7 linked regions of the Tribolium castaneum genome follow. The main gene of each other region encodes a partner of the protein of the gene in region 6 in a complex. Links are inferred from orthologs where the notes say so. Each region holds a gene or a part of one and is shown on either strand. Other genes may lie near its edges.

What was found.
Region 1: Taf4 (region 6) and Taf6 share a complex: the UniProt entries of both Homo sapiens proteins name them as parts of the TFIID basal transcription factor complex. The link is inferred for Tribolium castaneum from reciprocal best matches to the Homo sapiens genes TAF4 and TAF6.
Region 2: Taf4 (region 6) and Ada3 share a complex: the UniProt entries of both Homo sapiens proteins name them as parts of the TFTC-HAT complex. The link is inferred for Tribolium castaneum from reciprocal best matches to the Homo sapiens genes TAF4 and TADA3.
Region 3: Taf4 (region 6) and Taf11 share a complex: the UniProt entries of both Homo sapiens proteins name them as parts of the TFIID basal transcription factor complex. The link is inferred for Tribolium castaneum from reciprocal best matches to the Homo sapiens genes TAF4 and TAF11.
Region 4: Taf4 (region 6) and Nipped-A share a complex: the UniProt entries of both Homo sapiens proteins name them as parts of the TFTC-HAT complex. The link is inferred for Tribolium castaneum from reciprocal best matches to the Homo sapiens genes TAF4 and TRRAP.
Region 5: Taf4 (region 6) and Taf3 share a complex: the UniProt entries of both Homo sapiens proteins name them as parts of the TFIID basal transcription factor complex. The link is inferred for Tribolium castaneum from reciprocal best matches to the Homo sapiens genes TAF4 and TAF3.
Region 7: Taf4 (region 6) and Taf7 share a complex: the UniProt entries of both Homo sapiens proteins name them as parts of the TFIID basal transcription factor complex. The link is inferred for Tribolium castaneum from reciprocal best matches to the Homo sapiens genes TAF4 and TAF7.

The regions. Positions count from the first base shown.
Region 1 is NC_087398.1:814,707-818,860, forward strand, and holds the start of Taf6 (transcription initiation factor TFIID subunit 6), read left to right. Parts: upstream 1-1,354; 5' UTR 1,355-1,616; coding exon 1,617-1,859; intron 1,860-1,902; coding exon 1,903-2,133; intron 2,134-2,187; coding exon 2,188-2,565; intron 2,566-2,676; coding exon 2,677-3,291; intron 3,292-4,035; coding exon 4,036-4,154. Other genes in the region: Wdfy2 (WD repeat and FYVE domain-containing protein 2), read left to right, coding at 1-132, 183-429, 602-933, 980-1,115. UniProt on the Homo sapiens protein: The TFIID basal transcription factor complex plays a major role in the initiation of RNA polymerase II (Pol II)-dependent transcription.
Region 2 is NC_087401.1:17,517,304-17,520,882, forward strand, and holds Ada3 (transcriptional adapter 3), read left to right. Parts: upstream 1-1,277; 5' UTR 1,278-1,431; coding exon 1,432-1,609; intron 1,610-1,664; coding exon 1,665-2,053; intron 2,054-2,105; coding exon 2,106-2,275; intron 2,276-2,330; coding exon 2,331-2,434; intron 2,435-2,487; coding exon 2,488-2,771; intron 2,772-2,824; coding exon 2,825-3,004; 3' UTR 3,005-3,079; downstream 3,080-3,579. Other genes in the region: uncharacterized protein LOC103313297, read left to right, coding at 1-626, 680-889, 933-1,112; uncharacterized protein LOC656520, read right to left, coding at 3,543-3,579. UniProt on the Homo sapiens protein: Functions as a component of the PCAF complex. The PCAF complex is capable of efficiently acetylating histones in a nucleosomal context. The PCAF complex could be considered as the human version of the yeast SAGA complex.
Region 3 is NC_087394.1:5,383,824-5,388,009, forward strand, and holds the start of Taf11 (transcription initiation factor TFIID subunit 11), read right to left. Parts: upstream 2,801-4,186; 5' UTR 2,373-2,800; coding exon 2,092-2,372; intron 2,049-2,091; coding exon 1,864-2,048; intron 1-1,863. UniProt on the Homo sapiens protein: The TFIID basal transcription factor complex plays a major role in the initiation of RNA polymerase II (Pol II)-dependent transcription.
Region 4 is NC_087401.1:16,675,661-16,678,123, forward strand, and holds part of Nipped-A (transcription-associated protein 1), read right to left. Parts: intron 2,005-2,463; coding exon 885-2,004; intron 1-884. UniProt on the Homo sapiens protein: Adapter protein, which is found in various multiprotein chromatin complexes with histone acetyltransferase activity (HAT), which gives a specific tag for epigenetic transcription activation.
Region 5 is NC_087403.1:4,012,974-4,016,935, reverse strand, and holds the start of Taf3 (transcription initiation factor TFIID subunit 3), read right to left. Parts: upstream 2,801-3,962; 5' UTR 2,597-2,800; coding exon 2,431-2,596; intron 2,385-2,430; coding exon 2,142-2,384; intron 1,401-2,141; coding exon 1,277-1,400; intron 1,238-1,276; coding exon 358-1,237; intron 309-357; coding exon 131-308; intron 34-130; coding exon 1-33. Other genes in the region: SLIT-ROBO Rho GTPase-activating protein 1, read left to right, coding at 3,250-3,325. UniProt on the Homo sapiens protein: The TFIID basal transcription factor complex plays a major role in the initiation of RNA polymerase II (Pol II)-dependent transcription.
Region 6 is NC_087394.1:35,635,859-35,639,841, forward strand, and holds the end of Taf4 (transcription initiation factor TFIID subunit 4), read right to left. Parts: intron 3,596-3,983; coding exon 3,413-3,595; intron 3,358-3,412; coding exon 3,259-3,357; intron 3,206-3,258; coding exon 2,993-3,205; intron 2,800-2,992; coding exon 2,416-2,799; intron 2,363-2,415; coding exon 1,912-2,362; intron 1,618-1,911; coding exon 1,352-1,617; intron 1,301-1,351; coding exon 1,148-1,300; 3' UTR 501-1,147; downstream 1-500. UniProt on the Homo sapiens protein: The TFIID basal transcription factor complex plays a major role in the initiation of RNA polymerase II (Pol II)-dependent transcription.
Region 7 is NC_087394.1:13,420,491-13,423,610, forward strand, and holds Taf7 (transcription initiation factor TFIID subunit 7), read right to left. Parts: upstream 1,990-3,120; 5' UTR 1,816-1,989; coding exon 700-1,815; 3' UTR 501-699; downstream 1-500. UniProt on the Homo sapiens protein: The TFIID basal transcription factor complex plays a major role in the initiation of RNA polymerase II (Pol II)-dependent transcription.

The sequences.
Region 1 (4,154 bases), on a different chromosome or scaffold from region 6:
CGAAATTATTTTTGCCATCAACTGCGAATGGGTTCTGAGCGTGAGCAGGGATAAAGTGTTTTCGTACAATTGCACACAAACCGGCCGCAACATTGGGACTTACACGGCTGAGGCCTGGTGCACCTCTCTACAGTACTAATTTTTTGCGGAAAATTTTCGAGTCATGTCTTTAATTTTTGCAGATTTGATGCACAAACCAAACATGCGTTTGTTGGGGATTATTCTGGTCAAATAACTATGTTAAAATTGGATAATGCGGGCCCTAGTGTTATCACAACTTTGAAGGGGCACTCGGGCTCTGTTAGGTCACTGGCTTGGGACAGCGAGCGGCAGATGTTATTTAGTGGCTCCTACGACCAAACTGTTATCGTTTGGGACATAGGGGGGCAACAGGGCAACGCCTACGAGCTGCAAGGTCACCACAACAAGGTAAACATTGTTTATTACAACCGCAGTTGGATTTTTTCCGAAGCAAAGATAATTGTTTATTGGTTACGTAGGTCAAGGTTTGTTTTTTGTTGGCGATCGGCATTTGAAATTAAATTGGCAACAGTGCCAAAAATTACCAAAATTGTGGAAACAAGTGAATGTGATATTACAGGTCTCTGCTTTGTGCTACCTTAACTCGACCAAACAATTGGTCAGCGCGGGCGAGGACGGGGTGCTGGTCTTCTGGGACATGAACCAAACGCGTCAGGAGACTCCCGAGTGGATCGAGTCCGATTTATGTCAGTTGTGTGGAAGACCGTTCTTTTGGAACTTCCGAGCCATGATGGACCAGCGACAGTTGGGTTTACGGCAACACCACTGCAGACATTGCGGGAAAGCAGTTTGCGAGAAATGTTCCACAGGTAGATTAACAATTCCAGCGATGGGTTTCGAGTTCGCAGTGCGTGTCTGTGACCCTTGTCACCACTTGTTAAGGGATAGAGAGTGAGTTGCAAGTGGTGAAGTTATGTCTTGCTAAAGTTTTTTACAGGAGGGTGTCTTTAGCCACATTCCATGATGCTAAGCATAGTATTACAGCGATGGGATTGGACGAGACTCGCAAAAAATTGGTAACAGTCGGACAGGACCGGCTAATCAAAATTTGGGACATTTCCGCTTTGCTTTGAATCCGACTGGTTTAGTTACTAACGCTGGAATGTGATTCACACTCAATTAATTAATGTGCTATGATTTATTACATTATGTAAAATTTAAATATTATTAATGTTATATTTATATTCTATAAGTTCTATTGAAAATAAATCTATTATAATCACAGAATTGCGCCTCATTTGTGCTATTTTTGAACCCAAGTGTGCGAACAAGTGACATGATTCCATGAACGGATGGTAATCTGTGGTGACGTCAAATTTACAGGAACCTGCTTTCGGTCCGATTGTTGTCAGTTTTTTTCGAACAAACAATTGTTCGTTGTGATTTTTTCTCCCCCACACGATTAAATCAATTAAGTGCACTCTTCTTCATGATCCTTTAATACTTTGGTTCTTTAATGTTGTTGTTATGCGGCATGTGTTGGTGTTTTCGTCGTGCGTGCCACTCGAGTTGGCACCACTGGTAAACAAAACAAGCGCATATGCCAATTTTTGGCCCCCTTTTTGCCTTGAAAAATGTCCAAAAACGCTGAAAATGACTTATACGGAACGAATTTATCCGTCGAATCTATGAAGGTAATAGCCGAAAGCATCGGAATTGGAAATTTGCCCGACGACGCTGCAAAGGAACTAGCTGAAGACATCTCATTTAAACTGAAACACATCATTCAAGACGCTGCGAAGTTCGTCCACCATGCCAAACGAACAAAACTGATGCAGAGCGACATTGACGCAGCCCTCAAAGCCAAAAACTTGGAGGTATGTGGGCTTTTTGGTTATTTAACCTCATTGTGTCTTACAGCCCCAGTACGGTTTCCAATCGGCCGAAGGCCTCCCGTTCCGTTTTGCATCAGGCGGCGGACGTGAGCTTCATTTTATTGAGGAGAAGGAGGTGGTTTTGAACGATTTGTTGCAAAATTTGAACGCCAAAGCACCACTTGAGGTGTCTTTGAGGTCCCATTGGTTGTGCATCGATGGGGTGCAGCCCACAATACCCGAAAATCCGCCACCGGTGGCCAAAAACATACAAAAAGTAAAGTTTGCGTTGTTATCGCCACTGGTTCGTTTTTATTGGTTTGGGTTGTAGTTGGAGTCGGTTGATCCTATTAATAAAAAACCAAACAAGGAAACATCAGGGAAACCCACAACTGGAAAACAGAAATTACGAAATGTGGAAACTGTGCAAATTAAACAATTGGCCACGCATGAATTATCAGTGGAGCAACAGTTGTATTATAAGGAAATTACCGAGGCTTGTGTGGGGTCAGATGAGGCACGGAGGGCCGAGGCTTTACAAAGTCTAGCCTCCGATCCAGGGCTTCACGAAATGTTGCCCCGCATGTGCACTTTTATCATAGAGGGGGTCAGGGTGAACGTTGTACAAAATAATTTAGCGCTTCTTATTTATCTAATGAGGATGGTTAAGGCTCTCTTAGACAACCAATCGTTGTACCTCGAAAAATATGTAAGTATAGTATGGACCAAGAAAACATTTTTTCGCTCATTTTACAAAATTATGTTTTGCTTGATTTTTAAAAGTTCGTATAAGTAGCTATAATTTGTTGTTTAATTACAGTTACACGAATTAATTCCGTCGGTAACAACCTGTATTGTCTCGAAACAACTGTGCATGCGCCCCGAGCTGGACAACCATTGGGCGCTTCGCGACTTCGCCTCACGTCTCATGTCCCAAATTTGTAAAAACTTCAACACTAGCACGAACAACATCCAGACCAGAATTACCCGAATGTTTACAAATGCGCTCCAACAGGGCGATAAAGTCCCACTTTCGTCCCTTTACGGTGCCCTTGAGGGGCTTTCAGAGCTAGGGGCGGAAGTAATCAGAATTTTTATATTACCGCGATTAAAATCAATCGGAGCCCGAATTGAAATGCACCTTCAAGGACCAACTACTTCCAATATTGATAAAATCGCCTCGGAACATATTAAGCAATTGCTAATTAAAGTTGTGGCTCCCGTATTGAAAAATTTGAAAAATCCACCTGATTATGTAGAGGAGTATAAGCAAGAGTTTGGGTATTTGGGGCCCGCGTTACACGCAGCTGTGGTGAAAGCAAGGACACAACCGACGCCTTCGACAACAACGGCCTGCAATATTTCGACGTCGTTGACGAACGTGGGGGCCACTATTACGAGGACTGTGAGCCAGCCCTGCCAGATTATACAACAGGTAAGTGCATTAAAAAGTTTCAAAATGTGCTTCAAACGATTGACCTGAAATCCCAATAATTCCTGTAATTCCCACCTAATTTTTTTTTGTTTTCGTTGCTATAAGAAATTCAACGCAATATCTATTATCAATATTCTGATTCCAAATAGATTTGCACTAATTCTAAAAACAATTCCATAAATCCCAAAGGAAATTTTAATAATCCTTATTCGTCCAAGCGATTTTGATTAAGTTCCAAAAAAGTGTACACCCAGGACCAAAATAAGTGGCATCCCAATTCGTTCATACCCGTACGTACAAAACCGTAGAAAAAACGACGTCTAACCGCACCTTAACCTCTGGCATAAATCTTTTCGGTCATAAAATTAACAATTAACATAATTTGAATACTTCATTTAGCGATTCCACTATTAAAAATCGCTAAATATTTATTACAAATTTTTTTGAATTAATAAAATGTTTTACAAATTAGAAATGTTTTAGCTATTTTTTAGCCATTAAAGTAGGTTGTAGAGGTTTTACTGTATTATATTATTAAACATATTACTGTATATGTTTGCAATAAATATTTAGCAGTTTTTGGAAGCCGGTAAAAGAACTGTTCAAGAAATGTTATTTTTATGAACGAAAAAATTAAATTCCAATTCCAAGAAACCCACCAAAATTCCAGTAATTATAATTACTTGGGGTGTTTAATAAAATAAACGTGAAAGTGGATGTGCAGTTGGTTTTTTATTGCCGCAGAACACCGGCCCTCAGCGCACGATCGTAATGAACCAATCAGGGCGAGTCGCTAACCAGATAAACAACCAAAAAATCTTATTTGTGACACAACGTCCTCCAACCCCGGGAGGTTCCGTTCA
Region 2 (3,579 bases), on a different chromosome or scaffold from region 6:
GCTCTGCAATGATTCCTCTATCGACTTTTCTCGATTTGTATGAGTTTTTAGCACGAATTGATGCTTCGTTGCCACAAACTTTGAAAAATTACTATTTTTTGGATAAGTTTCTCGAATTGTTTCGCGAGAAAATTGCCAAAGATTCAGGGGAAAAACCGGTGGAAGAGGAACTCGAAACGGATTTTATGAGCGAGATTGTGTCCGAAGTGACGGAAAAAAGTGAAAGGGAGACGAAAAAAGACGATGAGGGTTCGGTTGTTTCGTGTCCAAGTGTCACAAGTCAGGATCCGGACAACTACATGAAATTGTTGATGAAAATACGAGCCGAAGGCGAATTTGAAGAAAGCAACGAAGAAATAAAGGAAGAAACAGAAGAAAAGACGGAACCTGTTGATGAAGAAGTGAAAGAAGAAGAAGTTGAAGAACGTAAAGAATCGGTCGCTGTTTCCGAAAAAAAATTTCCGGAACAGTTGGCTGAAGACGAAAAAATTCCGCAATTTCCGGTTGAAGATGACCTTGTTTCGAAAAGTACGCGAATGTCATCAGCACCGAGTGAATCATTGAAGAAAGATGAAGAGGATTTGAAACAAGACACTTATCTTATGGAAGATTTGGCAAGACTTCGGGTAATTCACCGACTAGTCTACTAGGTTTTTCCCCGAAATAAATTCGGGTTTAGTCATTACAGGAAGCCATGATGGGTGAAAGTGACGACGAAGTTGAGAAATTCAAAGCTAGTATTTTAGCTGAAGCTGGTTTAACTCAATCACAAATTGATGCACCTGAACATTTTGAAACACGAATTGAGAGTGAAATTTTCACTAATGAGTCACTTAAAAGTTACGAAACGTCGACAAGTGAACCGTCCGTCAAGGAAAAAGCGCCAGAAGTAGAAAAAAAAAGTGGGAAATTTTTTTTTATAATTGTTTTAGATTGAGTATGAGGATGTGTTCGTGGATCCAGTTCCAGGAATCGGGCCGAAAGTCCCCGAAAATTTAATTTTGGCCGTTTGTAATTACATGAAAGATGTGGCCAAGTGGCAACATGACATGGTTATGCCGAGGAATATACGGCATTTTGATCGCCCGCCTTTAGAAATTCGAAATCAATAAAAATTTTGCACCGTTTTTTTTTTGATACATGGTACTGCCCAAATCTTAATCATATTTAATCACGTTTCAGTGCGTCCAGTAATCAATTAATAATTATTTGTGCCTCCAGGTGTATCTACTTGATTAGTAAATAAAGCCCTACGTTTCGGAAACACGTATTAAATTTTCCCCCTTTATGTTCGATTTAGTTTACAGTTTCCTGTAATTCAAGTGTCAATTTTTATGTATCGATTGTCAACAAACAACAAAATTGTGTGAAATTGGCTAAAATAACATTGATGATTAACATTTTGCATGTTCTTTGTGCCTAAAGCGTGATATGAACAACCCCAAACGCCACCTCATGTCAAAAAACGCCCCCCGAGGGGGCAAAGCGAAAGACGCCCCCTCGTCCTCCCGTCACGACTCCATCCCTCCTGACACCGAAAACTTCATAAACACCGTCCCTTTGATCCGTCAATGCGACAACACGAAGCTTTTGCCCCGTTTTTCATCCAGTAATCAACCCTAACCTAACGTTTTGCCCCTTTTGATTAATGAGCAAGTTTTTAGTTTTGGGGCGCACCGAAGACGATGGAGTGAACATGGACGACCTTGATCAACTTCAACTCGACCTTGAGAAGTTAATTTCGACGTGTGCTGTGCGTAACCGGTTTTTAAGGGGCGAAATCGAATCGATTGATCGAGTTGAGGAAAAAAGAGACAAAAAGGGCAAATCGTATGATAAAGGGGGGCTCAAACGGAAACGGCCCGATGATAAGGCCAAGTATCGTGATTTGAAAGGGGGCGCACGCCCCCTGAAACGTCATTATCCACTTCCGGTGGATGTGCCCTTGAGGCATGAAATGCCCAAAATTAATTTACCCAAGAATGATACTTCGGATAAGTTTTGGGCGACTGTGGAGCCCTATTGCGCCCCCGTTACGAATTCACACGCTACGGTTGATTGATTTTTTCAATTTTATAATTATGTATTAACAAAAAAAATTTTAGTTCCTCGATAAATTAATCGAGGAATGTTCGCAAGAAATTGATGTAAAAATACCCGATTTGGGCGAATATTACGCCAATGAGTGGTCAGATAATGCAACCGGAGTGGAACAAGAATTGGGGCTAACCTCTAAAACAGTTGGCCTTGATTTGAAAAAGAACGGTTTGAGTGCGTAAGTATTTTTTATCAAGTCATAAAGTTCAAAAAAATTTACAATCAATCAATAGAATGGTTGATTCATTTTCAAACCCGAAAACTCAACGCCTATTGGCCGCCTTGATTGAGGAGAAAGTGATGACGTCATTTCCGGGTGTTACTGGGAAACTCAAACGTAATAAAATCACATTTGTCGTAACTTCAAACTCATTTAATTCACTTTTAAAGCGTCCGATTTGAATATAATCAAGTCAGCTGGTGGTCCACGTGCTGCCATATGTATGGATCGCCGCCTTAAGAAAGATTTAGTCGAACAAGGATTATTAAGTGTTGAGGATTTATCTAAAACAATGCCCGACGATGAGATTTTACAAGAAATAAAAAAATGTCAACAAGAATTGACAGCTGTCAATGAGTATAATGTTGAGGAATTGAAACGTTTGAAAGCTATAGTTGTCAAAGATTTGAAACGGCAAGAAATCAAAGCAGCTCTGGATGTAGTAGATGGCGAAGTTTGTTGATTGGTGTTACCATGGTAACAAAATTAAAACACCTAAAATTTCAGGTTTTGGAAGTTTATAATAAGGTGTTAATGACCAAACAGAAGCAAATCCAGCAGGCCAAGGATGAAGATTTCGATAAAGCCGCCTTTACAAAAAGTTTGAAAGAATTTGAAGTGAAGACACATGTCTTGTTGGAAACGCAGTTTAAGTTTCAGAAAGCTTTGGCGGAATTGCAGGAATAAAAAAAACACCAGTTTTAAGTCTTACATTATTATTATTATTATTTTTGACACATTAATTTACAAATTAGTCTGGTATTTGGTGTTTAGAGTTGTTTTCTTTTTCCTCAATTGTCTAATTAACACTCCTAATTAAATAATTGAAAAACACCGATAAATCAATTTGTACTTGGGAGAGATATTCATCAAAAAATGCTTTTTTCGTTTCGTTTGGTTGGTAAAAAATCACTCTTTTGAATATTCAAATTGGCACCACTGGTGGTATATGAAACGAATGAGTCAATAGTGCCAACCTGACAATCACAATTGTGCGATGAGATGAACTTAACCTATAAAAAAAGTATATTGCGAACATGAATACTACCAACGGCTAAAATTGATTTTCCCTAAATATTTATATAAAAAACAAATCGTAATAAATATGACGCAACAGAACAACAACAAAAAAAATATATCGCTTAATCCTACAAAATTATCACATTTACATTCTATACAAATGATTATCATCATGGATTTTTTTGTCCTGAAATTTTGATTACTATTACATTGTGTCAACATACAAATTCAATACGCGATGT
Region 3 (4,186 bases), about 30 Mb from region 6:
ACAATTGTGTGCATTTTTTCGTTATTAGAATACATTTCAGAGTTGATGTCACGTAACGACAATTGAAAAGTGGTCTTGGATCCGTTAAAAAAACAATTGTAAGTTTTGTGTTAGTTATTCGTAACAGTAATAACAAAGTGGTTTAAAACTCACTAATTACAACAAAAGTGGGTGTCATTTATTTAATAAGAAGTCGTAAGACTTCATTGCAGAAAGTGAATGAAATTTTGGTAATAAAAAATTAAACTAATCCGAATTAAATTATTATTTATTTTACATTGTTAAGCATCAAATTAAACAGGAATAAAAATCTGAATTTGTGCAAGTTTAATTAAATTTACCTAATACAAGTCTTAAGTAATACTCAAATCTTAAGAAAATTGCAAAAAACGGAATAAATTCCGTGATATAACGAAACCTTACTGACAGAATGTAACGCAAAAGGCTTCATTACTTTAAATAGAATAAACGTGAAAAGTAACAGGATAGATAGATAACAATTGGGAATAATTATTATGTCATTTTCATATCTTTAACGTATAGATTTTGCCTCCGACTTGAGTTATAAAATCGGCAATGCTCCTAGTTATTTTTTAATTACGTAAATGAGTATTAGTGAGCAAAAATGTGATTGTACAGTGACAAAGAATGATTTTTCTAGTAGTACTGTATTTAAAAATATGTCAATTGAGACTTTATCAAAAAAAATAGATTCATCATTGATCTGAAAACGAAGGGCATTTAGAAATATTGTACATTGTTTGTTTAAGTTTGTTTTTTTAATTTACGACGTTGCAACTTTTAACTCAAAAATTAAAAAAACTTAAAAATTGGCACTTAATAGGCAAATGGGCAAAAACAAAAAAAGCTTTTAGAAAAATCTTCTAGTTTATGATTTATTGTTTTTTACTGCCATTTCCTTACTCATATCTGTTTGCTATTTAAAAATATTGTTAGAGGCGACCAATTGTCTTGAATTTATTATTTATTATCGGTTTTTTATTGTAACAGTAGGGCACAGAAAAGAAAAATTTTTTTCAAAATTATAATCTTAGAACTTTTGTTTAACTGCGACCTAAAATTTCAAAGCACGGCTCCAAGACAATTTTTTATAACTCTTCAAATTGATGTTTTTTTCCTGTTCTTCGCTAAACCAAAAGGGCATTTTAAAAAAAATAGGGAATTAACTTTTTTGTAATTTTACATAGTTATTTTTTTTACTTTTTACATAGTCCACAGTGCAATGGTTCGTTAGACCACTATTCCATAAAGAAAGTCTTATCGAGCGTAATAATTAATTACACAAATACTTACATGTTTGATTTTTTTTGCACACAAAAAAAGAGTTTGACATTTCTAAGTCTTTGGACTGTTTTACTAATTTTTTAGAGTGACACCACTGCCGGAAAGAGGTGTGTAAGCTTTTTCGTATCGACTTCTTTTGAATTAATCAAAAAAATAATAATAAATTTACAGCTTAAAGAGTGCTTTAAGCAGTGGCAACTGTAGAAAAAAGTTGTTAATACGTATTTTCACGTTATTTGAGCTTCCGAATGTATTTTCAATCTCGAGCTGATGGTCTCAATTGTCAACTAAAATTTACCATAATTTTAGTGGTCAAGGCACTTATCTTCACAAAAATAAAAAAAATTAAACTATTAGACGTAATTTCATTGGAAAGCTGTCTGGTTAATACTTAAAAAAATCATAACTAAAAAACTATTGGGAATTTGGAGATTTTCTCGGCGCCCATCGATTCCTCGGATCATTTTACATAGGCTTAGACCAAAATAATTCCACATTTTCGAATAGTTTTGGTGTAATAGAGAAAATAAAAAAAATATTTTTTTGAATTATCCTCACCTTCCTCCACAACCTCTCCAACAAAGACCTTGGCAATCCCAGCCATAGCAATGACCACATTCTGGGAAACAGAACACCCTGTAATCGTCTGCATCAGCCTTTTAATTGCAGCTTTGGGAAACGCCGACCTCCTGTACATCTCATATCGATCCAGCTGATCCTCGGTGAAATTCGAGACTAGAACCCTTACAACAAACCCTCAGTAAACCCCACTTTACACCAACTTACTGCATTTTCTCGCGCTCTTCCTCCTCCATCTCCTTCCTAGTCTTCACCTCTTTCTTCTTAGCCGGAGCGCTGCTACTTTGAGGGGCTTCCGGCATTATTATATCCGACTCCAGGTACACATTTTCTTCGTCTTTGATGTGAATTTCAGACGTGAGCTGGGTCTCCTCGACTTTGACTGTCTCCACAGTGGAGTCGTCGTCTTCGTCCATGGACTCGTAGTTGGGGTCAGCTTTGATGATTTGACTCGTGGAGGCTGGAGGTTTCGCAAAAATGTTGTCCATTGTGTCTTTTTTTCACATTATCTATTTATTTTTTTGGAAATGAAGTAAGGTTATGTGTTAATTTTGACAGAAAAAATGAGCGATCGCTGCTCCCTCTACTGGTAGTTCTGTAGTTCCGTGCAAATCTGAGGTGGCGCCAGTGTCAAATTCCAGTCAATATATCACACTCATATTTGACAATAATTTTGTTTATTGTGTGTAAAATAAGGCGAAGTAAATGAAACGATGAATTTCTCTCGAGTTTGAGGCCCAATTCGCAGTGATAAAAATTGTGATAACGTGTCGGGTCGATTCGTCGCGGTGAACGACACAAAAACGCTTTTTTTTCGTTGTTTTATTGCGGGACCAGTTAATTCGCAATTAACCGCTTTTGACAATGTTCTAGTGTGATAATCGTACGAATTTGGCAACAAAATCACGTTGTAAGTATCCCAGTTGGTGGCTTTTGTTTGCTGGATGACAACTGTCAAAATGTCAAATCGGGCCTGGAGCCCCCTTGATCACCCAAGCGTCCACAGCATTGTGTGCGAAACCGTTAGCTGGGAACGCTTGGAAAGGCACGAAATTGTGGCTATTTTGAATTTTTTCACGCAGGTGCTCGCCGACTGCACGCAGGGGGCCTTAGAGCGTTGGATGGGGCTTGCTGTGCCCCAATTTTCTTGCACTGGCTCCCACTTCAACCACCACCATTACCCCGCTAAACCAAGAAGGTGAGTCGCGATTCCACGTTTAGATTATTTCCCTGAAAAAATGCTCAGTTATTTGCTACAATTTGTGGGGACTTCAAGGGTCACAAGTACCTAAAGTTTTTTTAAAATTATTTAGATCTATTACTTAATTTTGGCCACCCCTGCTTATGACAACAGTTATTAAATGAAACATTTATTGATTAATTTAGAAAATAATAAAATTACAAACTTTGACCTGGGGACATATTTGTAGCACACAACTTCTTTATAATACAAGTTATCTTTCGAAATTTCTTTTTTGTGAGACTTCAAATAAACTACTATTAACTGCACAAAATGTTAGGTGGGATATTGGTGATTTACGGCACGAGCCTAGCGAGTGCTGCATGAATTGCGAGTTAGGTACAATTTTTTTTTTGTATTATGTATAACTTTTCGTAAATAAGATGATTGTTTCTACGTAGCGATACGTAGTAATAATAGATGTTGATGCAGAGCAAAAAAAATATTTGATTATTTTCGATTTTTGTATATCAAACAGTCTTACCATTAGCGGAATTGCCCCTCGCCAGACTTATTAAAAATGAAAGAAACAGACTGGTGGGAGCTGTGTAAAAGGGATGAAAATTTACAGCAGGTGCATAAAGTTCGTACGGTGGGAATTGGGGATGTAAAATTGCACGAGAGCTAAGTGCACATTGCAGAAGAAAAACGAAAATCGTAAAGTTTGTCGGGACTGTAGAAATAAACGTCAGTGTTATTGCTACTGAAAAGGGGAAAATCTATAAAGCTTTATGTGAAAGGTTTCAGATGCAATTTTCGTGAAAGAAAAAAAAAACAATAAGATGGGACGAGACATTTTGTACTAATTATAAATCGGAGTTAATTGATATTGATTTTTTACACCCACACAACAAATTTAATTAATTTCCGTCACAGAATGAATTAATGTTTGGTTTAATAAGTTGCGTTTTAAATGTTTGGGATGAGGTCGGTTTTTTGTTGTTGCATTGTTCTTTGTTTTGAACCGTTTTAAATAAATTACCGATCAGGTGATGGACATTGCATGTCGGTTAATTAACTGTTTTTCCAGTTGTTGAGAGAACTGTCTATAATTTTTTGCAT
Region 4 (2,463 bases), on a different chromosome or scaffold from region 6:
TTAATATATTTGGAACACTTTAAAAAATATTGTAAATTTGCAATATAAACCGCATATCAATAGAAAGCTTATAAAAAATGCTATCGATACGTCTAAAGAAATACATGGTGTTCCATTAAAAAAAATTAGTTATTCAACTTTTTGCGTTTTGACACACCCTGTATATGATTTCCGTGTTTCAAGTAAAAGTCGACAATTTCCTAAAACTTCAAAGTATTTTGAATTTTTCTGTTGCAAATTTATCGGAAAATATTCATAAGCGACTTTGCAGTGAATTTTCAAAAATTGGTCTTTTCTATAACGAAAAGTCGAATAATTCCGAAACGAAAAAAGATAGACCCATAATAGTTTATATAAAGTTACATTATTTTTTTACGTAGAATCCAATTATGCAAAAATATATAGGGTGTTCCGTTAAAAAAAATATAACTTTGGTTCATCACTCTGTATACATCCTGGGCATAATAGAAATATTTTTAGTTTGTGGAATTTCAGTAGATCTATCAAATAATAAAAACAGAATGACAATATTTCAAATAGCAAAAAAGTTATAGACCGATTATACACTCTTGGATCACGCAAATTATTTTGTATATAATTTATTTCGTAAAAACTGCATTTTCCAAAAACTTCCAGCATCATTATTAAAAAAAATTTTTAGAAAAATATAGTTATTCTCACAATCATATCTAAGTGTCCTACGCTCAAAATTTTTTTTTTCTGTTACTTAGGTCCTGCTTAGACCAATTAATTTCGTACATATGTATATAACGACTAAAAATTGGAATTTTATTATAATAGTATTATATTATTTTACGTGTCTTTTCAATATAATTCATTTCATTTAGAAAAAAAAATCTACTAACAAAAAAGTATCCACTAACCTTGCTATCAGCTCCGTCAAAATGCGCCAAACTGTTCAACCGACTGGAGATCGACGTCACTGCCTTATTGACCATATTAATAATCTGTTCGCTATCGCTCAACTTCTCCGTATTATTCCCTGCCACTTCCTCCGGCTTCTTCATCCTCGACAAAACCATCTCATCTCTCAAAATCGGCTTCAAAATCGCCGTTACTTTAAAATTCGGATAAACGAAACACCTCGCCGTCGCAATCATGGACGCTGTCAAAGGCCCACTAATCCCAATACTCGACAAATACTCGACAATATTCGGCGTCAGCCGAAAGGGCACCGATCTGGTGGCCCCAAACTCCCCCGTCCCATCATCCACATCAAACTTAAAGTAGGCCACGTTCATTAATCCCGAATCCTGATGCAAGTACATCATGTCGGGATTAAGTCTCGTCAAGTGCAAGACATGTTCGGCAAAGCAGGCCAAAGCCAACTGCAATGTGAACATTTTCCGAAACTGCCAATAATCGGTGGCTGATGGGAACGTTTGGACCGCCCATTGTTTCAACAACGTTCTTGGTACCATGTTTGTTTGCACCCCTTTTAAAATATCCCTACTCAATTGATGGCTCGCTTTGATTCCCCTACTCTGCACCCCACCCAAGCGTTCGTAGTAGTAATGAATGGGATCGTCGTGCTCGATGCCTAGCTTGGCACACCCCTTTTTGAAAATGTCCAATAGGGAGATGGAGGCGGGGTTATCTTCGACCAATCGGATTTGCTGCGAGACGGCAACAACGCGCGGTACGGTAAAGTGGAGAAAACGTCGTGCGGTCTCTTTCTGTTTGCCGAGACAGTGATTGAGCATGCGCAGAAGTTGAAGGACGCGTTCTTCACGACGTGCGTCGACTAGACCCGAATCGTTGACAACTAAATAAGGGTAGATTTTTCCGTTGTGACCACGGATGTAGAGACGCCTGGCGGCGGCGTTGTGTTTTTGGACGACGTCAACACGAGGCATGAAACGAGTTATGCGAACGTAGTAATGGTTGTGTTTGGGGAGGAGAAATTCGCCGGGGATTTCCACTTCGGCGGTTTTAAGGGTGAAGTTTGAGAGGAAACGGCATTTTTCCTCAATTAGGAACGACCTAAGAGGAAAAAATTTGGCTAAGTAATACATTATATGTGCGGTATAGGTTGTTTTATTAAAACTGAACGCTTTAAAAAACCTGCACAAATAATGTACAGTTCATATTTCAAAACCAATTAGAAAAAACATAGAAAAGAATATTAAAAAAAAAAACATTTTTAAATGAGTCATAATAAATTTCACTTCAAAAAAACTCGTGGAAAGCCTATTGATTTCAAACAGAATGTAAGTTAGAATTTATTTATAACTTTTTATAACCTCTATAGTCCGTTATTTTAATAATGAGTTAACTCTGAGTTAGAAAAAGTCCATGTTAATTCAACAGTCAGGTCAAGTCAGGTCTGAAAACTTAGAAAAAGTCTAAGTTAACTCAACAGTCAGGTCAGGTCAGGTCTAAAAACTTAGAAAAAGTCTAAGTTAACTCAACAGTCAGGTCAGGTCTGAAAACTTAGAAAAA
Region 5 (3,962 bases), on a different chromosome or scaffold from region 6:
GGTTCGCCAAAGGCGTTGGTATCAATCCCGGACCTAGAATTGAAAAGCAAAACTAGGATAAAGAAAAAACCGTTCACTATTTTCGGAAACGAAAAAAAAAATATCATAGAATCGTAACACGCGAATTTACCTCCAAAGTTGAAGGGGAAGGGGATGGGGGCCAGGGGCGCGTGGTTGGGGATGGGAACGGGCACAGTTGGCGGAAACTCCATTTTGGGTAACACTTGGGCTTCCGGTGTTTTGGGCCGCTCCATGTCCATGTCCATCGTATCGTTGTCTAGCCGATGCGGACTTTGGTTTTTCTGAATCTGAAAAACAACCTTAGTGGGAATACAAATTGTTGCGAAGCTCCGTTACTCTCTTTATCTTCTTGCTGTCTTTCCGCTTGCGTTTTTCCTTGACTATTGGCGGGCTGTGTGAGATCATTTCGGGGGTTTTGGGGGTTGAGGGAGTCCCCGGTTGGGAGTCATCGTCAAAGTAGGGCGTGTCCATCTTTTCTGGGCTTTTCTGGGCCGAGGAATTGATGGGTTCGATGGTCACGTCGCTTGATAAGTGGGTGAATTTGGGGAGGACTTCGTCCGGTTCGTCGATTATCAAGTCGGGGGAGCTTTCCCTCGATTCTTGTTTAATATCGTCTTTTTTTATTTTAACGTCGGTTTTTTCGTTCTTCACGTTTGATATTTTCTTAAATATGTTGACTTTTTTCTTGTCGGGCTCCGTGAAGAGTTTGTCGACGTTGTCGTGCTCAGGTGGGAAGACTTGGGGGCTGTTGGGCCGCATGGGAATGGGGGTGATCGTAGTGTTGAGTTTCTCCGTTTTAAGCCGGGCTGCAGCCAAGGTTTTGCTGATCTTAGCGGCTTGGTTTGCTTTGTTCTGCAGCTGGGAGATGTCGTGTGCCAGGGGGTTGAGGACCTTGTTGGGCGCTTTCTGTTGTTGCTTCGATTTCAGTATACACTTCATTGAGTTGATTCTGTTTTTGCCCGCTAGAGCCGGGTCCGTGTTTCCTTCCTGCTTGAATTTCTTTTTCTCAACTTTTTTGACGACTTTCGTCGGTTTTTTATTCAGATCGATGGTTTCCTGGGGTGGGTTTACGGGACCCATTGGGTCTATGGACGAAATTGGGGTTCTGGATTCAGGTAATTTGCCTTCTCGCGCTGGGGATAGAAACCCAGAAGTTGTCATCATCACACTGCTTATTTCTCTTGTCGGCCGACTGCCTTCTTCTTCTCTGCGGAAACTAAGACAGCCTTATTGTGAATTTGGAAATAGATAATACCTAGGCCGTTTGAACTCTGAAGGTGATATGTCGGCCGGTTTTTTAAAAACTTGGGAATTTTCAGGGTTGGTGTCTTCCAGTTCCTCAACTTTACAATTGATCGCTTCTAATTCATTTCTATTACCTATAATAATAATAATAATTATTAATTGTTCACTATTAGAGACGTTAACTGTTTTTTAAAATGGCTGCATTTAAAAAAAAATTCCGGTGTATATGCAGGTGTCCCAATATTAAAAAAACACTAAAGTTATGTTTTTTCAAATGGCACACCCTAAATTTTATTGCATTTTTGGACGTAGCTTTTAATACTGATGATTTTGTTCTAAACTTGTACTGGTCGATTTTGCTGAAATAATTTGATTTTTTTGACAAAAACACGCGAAGTAGGAATTTCACCACTTTAAAGGAAAAAGTTTATATGTTTATTTGTACCAATTGTTTTGCGCACTGCAATTAGAAAAGTAGAGAAATTAATAAGTTTGTTAAAAGTTGAATAACTTGAAAAAGTTAATGGAACGCCCTATTTTTTGCTGTTGCTTCTGAAAGATTATTAAATAGTCTATCTAAAAAAACAAGTTTTAAATTTCTGATAATACTAAATAATAATAAAAAAAGAATTGGCCCTAAAATAGACCCCTGTGGCACACCTTTATTTGTAATGGTAGGACTAGAAATACGATTATTTATTGTAACTACGCTATTCAAAATAAAGAAAATGTGAATGTGATTTGAATATCTATTGGTCTATAGCACTCATTTTCTTGTAGACTGGTATGATCTTTTTGGTATAATAGCTTAAATTGTAGACATTTCCGATGGCAAATGTATTATTTAAGGTACAAATATTAAAAAAGCGTTATACCTTCTAAAAGTGGGTTCATGGGGGGTAGGTGTTCATGTATGTGGACCGGTCTGGTGACCACCTCCTTGCTGCCTGGTTTTAGAAAATTCAAATGGTCTTCCTTGGGTATGGGGTACTTGGGGACAGCGCTTGGCGCCGCAGCAAAATTAACATATCTCACGTACTCCTCCAGCTCCGGGACGCTGATCCCCATGTCCCTAAAGGTCAGACCCAAGTGGTCCAAGTTCGGTTGGGTGCACCCAACTGAAATCCACACATTAGCATTGCCCCTAAGTTCCAAATTGCGTACATTCGTTTGCGTAGCTGTTTGTGTTCCTGGTAATCTGGCCCATGTAATTCCCTAAAATGTCGGTTAAAATCTCCAACGGTGTTGAATTTATCGAGTTCCATCCTAGCGTTTGTAAAATTTTCGCTACAGATATCTTAAGGTGGTCTCGTGTGTAATTACGAGACATTTTGCCGATTTATTTGACTACACAAGCTCTATAAAAGGGTGCACCAACACCTAATACAAATAAACTTCCATTTTGTATCAACACCCGTGACCTTGACAGACGGCAGACATCAGACATGCTTTTAATGCTTAAAAACGCCAAACTATATTCAGAATAGCGATAAATACGCAGGAGAGACGATCTGTTAACCCAACCGAACCGATAATTTTTTATTTGGTTGCGCACAGTGGGTTGCAAACGGTACTAACCGCTTAACCGCTGGCGTCCATGTTTGTGGGCGGTTTGGGCATTACAAGTGGGCAGTGTAGAGGCGGGTCCAAAGATGGCGCTGGTCGCTGGTGTGTTTACAAGCGACAGCGGCATTCTATTTTGAGTAGAGAGTAGCATGTTATGTTCAAATAGACAGTGTACAAATCGTTTTGTTCGTGGTAGCGTTCGCAACAACACTCAGTAACGAATTAACGTATTCGAATTAGTGCACACCGATTTGAAATGGCAACATTGTCTCAAATGACCACTTCTCATTAAATGTTTTTCCGAGTTAGCAACAAAACATAACTTGCGTTTGGACGTGAAAGTAGTTATTTTTGTGTGAAGACGGTTTTAGAATTCGCCAGTTTGTTTCTTATATACCGGCTACTTATTTTGTAAGGATGGATGAAAATGAGCAAGAATTGAAATCACCAATCAAACGGCTGGGATCCACGAGAAAACTTTTGGTTTTTAACAGTGAGTACACCTGTCTAGTTATCACCGAATATTTAACGCGTCTAAAGGTGGAACGGAGTTACTTATTTTTGTAATATTTAAATTTCTGTAAAAGTCGTTACCCAAGGTCACGGTATTGCAACAATAACCTTTTACCTGCAGCCGTTACTATTCAGTCTCCGGTTTGCGTCAATAAATATCATATTTTTTATCATTAAATCAATCCAAATAAAACAATCGAATTTTAATTAACAATGTAATTAAGCCACTTTAGCAGAATCCTGATTCCTGGCGTAAACAATAATTCTCTATAAACAGGATATTACTATTAAATCAATAATATTTATTAATAGTTTTGCAAAACAGGCGTATTTTCGATTTCCGAATTCCGCCCAAGGCCACTCTGGATTCTTATCAAGTTATACCTGAGGCGGTAAAAGACAAGAAAATCCAACTAATTATCAAAGTTAATGTCACAAGCGAAAATTATGCAAGATGTCGTAAATTCAGCCTGAACTTGAACTTGTAAACAACAGTTAGCAAGATAAGCGAATTAACAAAGGTGTTAAATAGCCCCGAACTGTCAGGCATCCAGTCGAAAATAATCGACAGCGGCGAAAAAGCCATAAAAAATTTATAGTATTATAAATGTGAGCGT
Region 6 (3,983 bases):
CTGGGATTGCCCAAGATCACATTTCAGCAAATGGTATGTTGTTCTACATCTTTTATTCTCTTACATACGAAACAATGCGTGATTTAAATGATATTATTTTAATAAGTCCCTCTTGATTTTTTTCATTTTTATTTCAACTTTGGTTCTAAAGGGTTTTAATAAGAGAAGATAACATTCATTTTAAATGAAACAACAATTTATTTAATCCCAAAACAATGCATTTGTACTTTTTAAAAGGGGACAATAATAAGGCCAATCAGCTACTGAACATAAACAACTTAAGTACTGTATATACAAATCCAGAGCACCCATTAAATGGAAAATGTACTTGGATTAGAATAATCAAACGTTATGTATATACAAAAATCAAACTAAAACCTGGTGACTACTAGTGAAGACATGTTTAGTAATAAAAATAGATATGGATATTTATTATTACAAAATAATTGCTATAAAAATGACGCGTAAACACACACGTATTTACAATAAACAAAACTAGAATCAAATAATCAATTTATTATATTAAATATTACTTCTATAACAAAAATTATATATATATCTATATCCATAGTTAGATTAAAAAACAATTATACAACTAATTACAAATTATTAACATGACCTTCTTAAAATATTTTCTTATAAAGAAAACTCACATCATTATAGAAAATCTACAATATATTTACACCCTTACATATCTGTAGAAAAACCTACGATACTTTATCTGTTCACTTCGTGTTATTTGAGACTAACAACAAAAAAGTATGTGTTAAACAATTTTTCATGACTAATTGTAAGTAGGAAAATATGAAGCTTGCATTGCGCAGTCTCTAGACGTATTTTTGACATTTATTATAAAAACTGTTTGGAAAGTTTTGATACAAAACATTTCATTGGAAATTTTGAACAATACTGAAAACAATGCAAACCAATTTTGTTCTTTAAGCTAACCAAGAGTAGTGGAGTGGATAACGCTATTCATGAGAAATAAAAAAAATGTGCTAGATAAAAGATAAAATATTGTTTACATGACCTTAGTGGTTAAAAATGAAAAATCATAATAAATAACAATAACAGAAGATGAGAATAAAAACAAATTTAGGGCACCCACGACGTCTCTGAATATCACAACACTGACGAGAGGCGAGCATCACTTAAGATATGATTTGTATAAAAGTTTACTTTTGCATAGGTCTTTTTCAGTTTCAAACAGAAACTGCAAGTCCCTCAACGTCACTTTCTTCATTCGCTGTCTCAATGGCATCTGTCCTCTCAGTCCGCTGTTGAATCCACCGGCATTGCCCTTCAAAAACAAACATCACAAATAGAACAATAACAAAACCGAATGTTTTACTTGTGATAAACTCGACTGCCCGTCTCCCTCCAGTCGCGGCTTTTTCCGCGGTCCAATCGCCTGCAAAGCCGTCGCATTTGCTTCCCTCTGCCTCAATTCCTCCATTTCCACCCTCTGCATTTCCCTCGCCTTCGCTTTCAGCTTGGCTTGCTCAGGATCCTCCGTTTTCGACCGACTTTTCGCCGCCCTCAGGAGCATCTCCCGCTCCAGCTCTTCGTGTCTTTTTCTCTCCGCCCTGTCCACCTCTTCCAAGAATTTCAGCTGACCTGAAAACAAATTTTTACATCAATTCTTGAGATTTATAGTCTCAAGTCAAAATTTTTCGAAGAAAATTGGAGGTAACTTAAGTCCAGGACCACAAAGTTTGTGCTCTTCGTTGTGTTATAGCTCTTCAAAGACGTTCAAAGAAATTTCTATTATTATAACCTGTTGTTCCTATTATTTTTTATCTTGGAGTAGGAATTATAGTTAAATTTGTAACCATTTTTTTGGGTACAGAAAATTGTCTCCGTAGTTATGTTTGAAAACAGCTATTTTCAACAGAATGAACATAACTTTACCTTTGACGTCGTTTGTGACTTCGTATCGCAAGTCCTTTTTGACGATGTCCAGTCTGTGTCCGGTGATGATGGCCAGTTTTTCAATGAGATTTTTGAGTCTTTCCTGTGCCGCGTGCGAAATACACGCTGCGACATCAGCGCTCGGCTCGTCAAGCCCGTGCTTCATCACAATCTGTCTAATTTTCTGTTGTAAAGGTCCCATTGAACACATGATTTCCTCTTTGCAGGATCTGATTTGAGTGCCGACGAATTCAGTCGACCCCAAAATTTTCTGGGTTTCCTCAGCGAGATTAACGCCTCCCATGGCGGCCACATCGTTGATATCGTCATCGCCGGTATACGCCGCCGAGAATGACTTTTTCTCCTTTTCTTTGCTGGTAGGTCGCGAAACTATCGAAGGCACTGCGGGTTTGATTCCTTGGAGCTTCATCGACGTCATTGGGGATTTATTCTACAGGAACAAATAATGAATGACACTTGAGCGCGTTTGACGTTGTCATTTACCTGTAAGGGTTGCCGTATGTTGCTACCAGCTCTGACCTGGTTGCTGGGATAGACAGGATGGAGGGCTGGTGGTTGTGAACTGGAAACGATCACATTTCCTGCTGCGTTTGGTTGTCGTATCGTCGTCATCATTCTGGGAGTTTGTTGTGCGGCGCCCCGCAATGGGGTTACCAGCCGTTGCTGGAGCACCTGACCTGGTCTAACAACTGCAGTACCTGGGGCTACTATTCGCACTTGGTTGGAAGCTATGCCCGGTCGGACTTGGGTCTGCACTGTTGGAGAGCCGCTAGCTATTGAGAAAACAACATTGGCGGGCGGAGGACGGATCCCATCTATCGTCAGTTCTTTCGTTACTAGTGAGTGACGTAGCAGAGGGAGGCTTTTCTGGAATATATTTTCTGTCGTTAAAAAACGTACCCATTTTATTTAAAAAAATTGCAAAGATCAACCTCATCACACATTCAAAAACTGGATTTCCTCAATCGATTTTATATTAAATTTGACATTCTGTGATAAAAATCTAGATTGACTTTCAATTACAGCTTTTTCCACCAATTTTAGTACAATTTGAAATCACCTTTAGAAACCCAATTAGGCACGGTTGTGGCGATGCATTTAACAATCTTTCCAGTTTGTCACAAAAATCTTCTGGTTCGACTTTCATGTCGATTAACTCTTGAATAAGTGTCCTTACGCTACGTTCAACTGACTTGGGTTCTTTACTTGATAACTCTAGAAGGTTTGCTAGGAACTTACGGCACTTTTCTTTGGTATTGTCATTGGCCGGTCTCTGTACAGAAACATGAAAAATTAAATGACAAAACAAAAATATTGATTACAAACCTGAACAGTCGTTACAGTCTGTACCGTCTGACCTTGACTCGAGACCGTTGTGGTCCCACCAGCTACTGCTGGACTGGTAGTTGCTGAACTTGTCGGCGCCTGTAAATCCCCCAAAATTATTGTCAAAGTGATGCACGGGAAAAGTAATTCTTACAGCAGCGACCGTTTGCATACGCAACGTGACTGGCTGTCCTCCAGGAGTCGAAGTCGCTGTGAGATTTGCAGTGGCTGGGGGTGGTCCCACCCTCAACAGCTGATACTGTCCATTTTCAGTCTTGAGAAGCAAATGACCTTGTTGGCCGGGTTGCAAACCGTGAAATGTTTGTAATGTTAATTGCTAAAACATTGAATTTTTTTTAGACAAGTCGAAAACTACCAAATTGGCAAACCCTATAAAAACGAACAACTACACAATAACAAGCACAAAACTAAAATAACACAAACAATACATTTTAAACAACTACTGGAATACATTTTGCTTCATAATCTACAATCTAAAGATTCTAGTCTAAAGAATGAGCCACGTGACTCGAACGTTAGTAACAAACGAGAAATTTGTTAGTAAGAGTTCCACAGTTAGTTGTATTTTTATTTTACAGTACGACCAGCAAATGTGTACACCAGTTATCAAACAAAACAATTCTTCAAATAAACTATAAAATTTACTCAACAAAACTAGAAGAGATTCGGCATTTTCGTTGTACAGCTTCGTGTACGTGTTTCGA
Region 7 (3,120 bases), about 22 Mb from region 6:
ATACACTATTGCCGTTTTTTTTTATAATTTTGAAATAAATATTGATAGTTTTTCTTTACGAGTCTTTATAATTGAGGCTGAACTCAGATTAAAAATGCAATGAGCATTAGTATGATTTATTAAATAATTTACTTATTTTCTTGTTATATACTGGTAAATAAGGAAACGTGTTATTTTACTTTATGATTTGCAATAAAAAAATGTATATCTCATTTCAGATCGTAGTAGAATTTTGCAACAACGCATTTGCAATTTTTTGAGTGAAATGGAGCATAAATTGAGAGCTTCTGCTAGGTTTTCTTAGCTCAAAGTGTGGCGCTGGAATTTGGTTTAACTCAGAATTTTTTTTCTTATACAGAAATTCTCAATTTGTGCTTTATTTTCACTCCAAAAAATCAAATGCGCTGTTGCAATTCTACTATGAACTGAAATGGGATATAATGAGTGTCCCTGAAATAGACTTGATGATGGAGACTAATACAAACTAAAAATAAGTATAGTTTTTGCCGATAAAGTTGTTTATTTTCTAAATTGTGCCCTATTCATAAAAAATAATTATCTATAGAAATTTACACAATTAAAATCGAATAAAACAGATTTTTTAATTAATCTAACATTGATACGCTTACAAGAAACACTTCACTATAACCCCTTTTTGGACCTAAAATTACAAAATACGATTTTTTAACCACTCCAATACTACTCTGGGTGCTGCTTCAGAAGCTCCTCCAACCCGTATTTCTCCTGTTCCTTCTCGATTTGCTCCTGCAGAAGCCTATCCAAAATATTCTGAAAGCGTTGTCTCAGCGCCAAATTCTCAATATTTTCAATTTCCATTTCCTGGTGTTGCCTCCTCATTTTCAAATTATCCAACTCCAACTGCAGCTCTTCAAGCCTCGCCAAAATATTACTCTTACTCAAATTCTGCTCTGTGTAGGAAATATTGCTGGATGACTGCTGATAATAGTCCATTTCTTGCATCAAAGAGGGGGAATTTTGCATTTCGTTGAACATATCACTGGTGAATTCTGTCAACAATTTTGAGTTTGCGGTATTGATCATCATTGAGTTGGAGTCAGTCAGGTGGCTGTCTTCGGCCGAGTTCTGACTATTGTCGTCCAGTTCCAATACGTTAAGGTGGGCGTCCTCCTCCTCTGAGTCACTCACAGCCCCCCCGAAAATATCATGTTCGGCCACGTTCTGATTGGGGGCTTCTGCAGGTTCCTTCTTCACCACGGTGCCTTTGTTGACTTTGTTTTCGTCGTCTTCGTTGATAACCTCCCATTTAACACTAACTGCATCATTGTCTATCCTTAACAATCTTTTGACTTCCTTCTCTATTTCGGGGGCTTCCACGTATTTCTTCTTCAAAGTCTTGCGGAATCGTCGCTTCCTTACGTTTTTCGTCGGTGGTGTGATCCCGTGTGGCATCAGATATTTTTTCTCCACTTTGTTGGGGTCTTTACGTTTCGACTTTTGTGGGGACTCTTCATCAGTAGTCGTTTGGTCGTCCTCTTCCTTACATATGAGCATTTGGCAAATATCGGCTGTTTTGTAGAAACCTTTCGAATCAATAGTTTTAAGGGACTCGATAATAGTGGGAAGGTCCATAACTTTAGCTGGTAAAAGCCAGTGGTCGATTCGGACTTCACCATGTCGCATGTCATTTTCTATTTTGATGGCCACCCTGTCTTTGAGGGTGCTGTTGTTTCGGATGGCTTCGCGAAGGACACGGGCTGGTTCTTCCGGTAGACGTAAAATGAACTGGCATTCGAGTTCTGCAGGTGAATCGGGTTCGTGGCCCCCTTTGTACATTTTTTTTTTTTCAATAATTGGGGCTTAAATTAATACAAAAGTGGATTTGACACGAATTTTAAACTTAATGTAAATGTAACAACACCATATTTTAATTGCTAAAAATGACAAACTTTTATTTGTTGACGGTTGAGGTTATGTTTGTGAGTTGTGGAGGTTAGGTATGCTAAGTGGTTTTCTGATTTATCGGCCGTGGGTGTATCTGTTGGTTGGGGGAAGTGGAGTACTGGTGGCGCTGCATGCTAAGACTTTAAGTCAGTGGCGTAGGTTATTTATCATTTATCTGTTTTTTCTTGAAATATTTGAAATATTTATTGTCTGACAGTGTTTCTTTAATTGTTTGTAAGTGGCCACATTGAATTTGGCGGGACAGTAAATAACTTTTTACCTAACAGTATGATTTTACAAAATAATGGCCAAGTCGTTAAATATTTTGGAATTAAAAATTTTGTTATTTCACTGAGGGCTAGAAAGTGGCGTGTTCTGTTCAATATTAATTTTAGTTACTTGATTTCGGATTCTGAATAAGTTTCGGATTGGCGTCTATAAAAATCCGAAAAACTTTGTTTTGTTTGATTTAATTTATTTGAAAATGCATTTTTTCTATATCTCATTTCAATTCATAATAGAATTTTGCAACAGCGCATTTGTAATTTTTGGAGTTTCTGGTTGGCTTTCTTAGCTCGAAACGTGTCGCTGGGATTTAGTTTAACACAGAATTCTTTTCCTTTACCGAAACTCTCAATTTGTGCTTTATTTCTCACTCCGGAAAATTCAAATGCGCTGTTGTAATTTATGGAATAAGTTTACTCGTGACTTCGTCACCCTTAAACTAAACTTTTCCACTTGTACATAAACAATCTTTTTATCGTCTTGTATAATATTAATAACTCTTGTATATAATCAGCATCAATTATTTATTATAAGTTGTACATCTTAAAAACATTCAAATAAACATAATACATCAAACAATGATCTTAAACCAACAAAAAACAATGAGATGTTTTTTGATTTTTTTGTACCTAGATTAGATACTTGTCATTCCAACTCAATAAAATGCCAATAAAGCAATTTACTGAATATTTTTTTTAAATAACGTTTATAAAAATGTAAAATACCAAGTTGTTAATTATTATTATTAGATCTGTATCTGTCACTGGAACTCCAAATTACATTAGCTATTAAGTTATTGAAGTGCATGAATAATAAATTAATAACAACTAACTTTGAGAGACAAAAACCGGAATAGATATTACATTACTAAAAAGCAGATTAATGTTTACGTAAATAGTTAAAATACATATA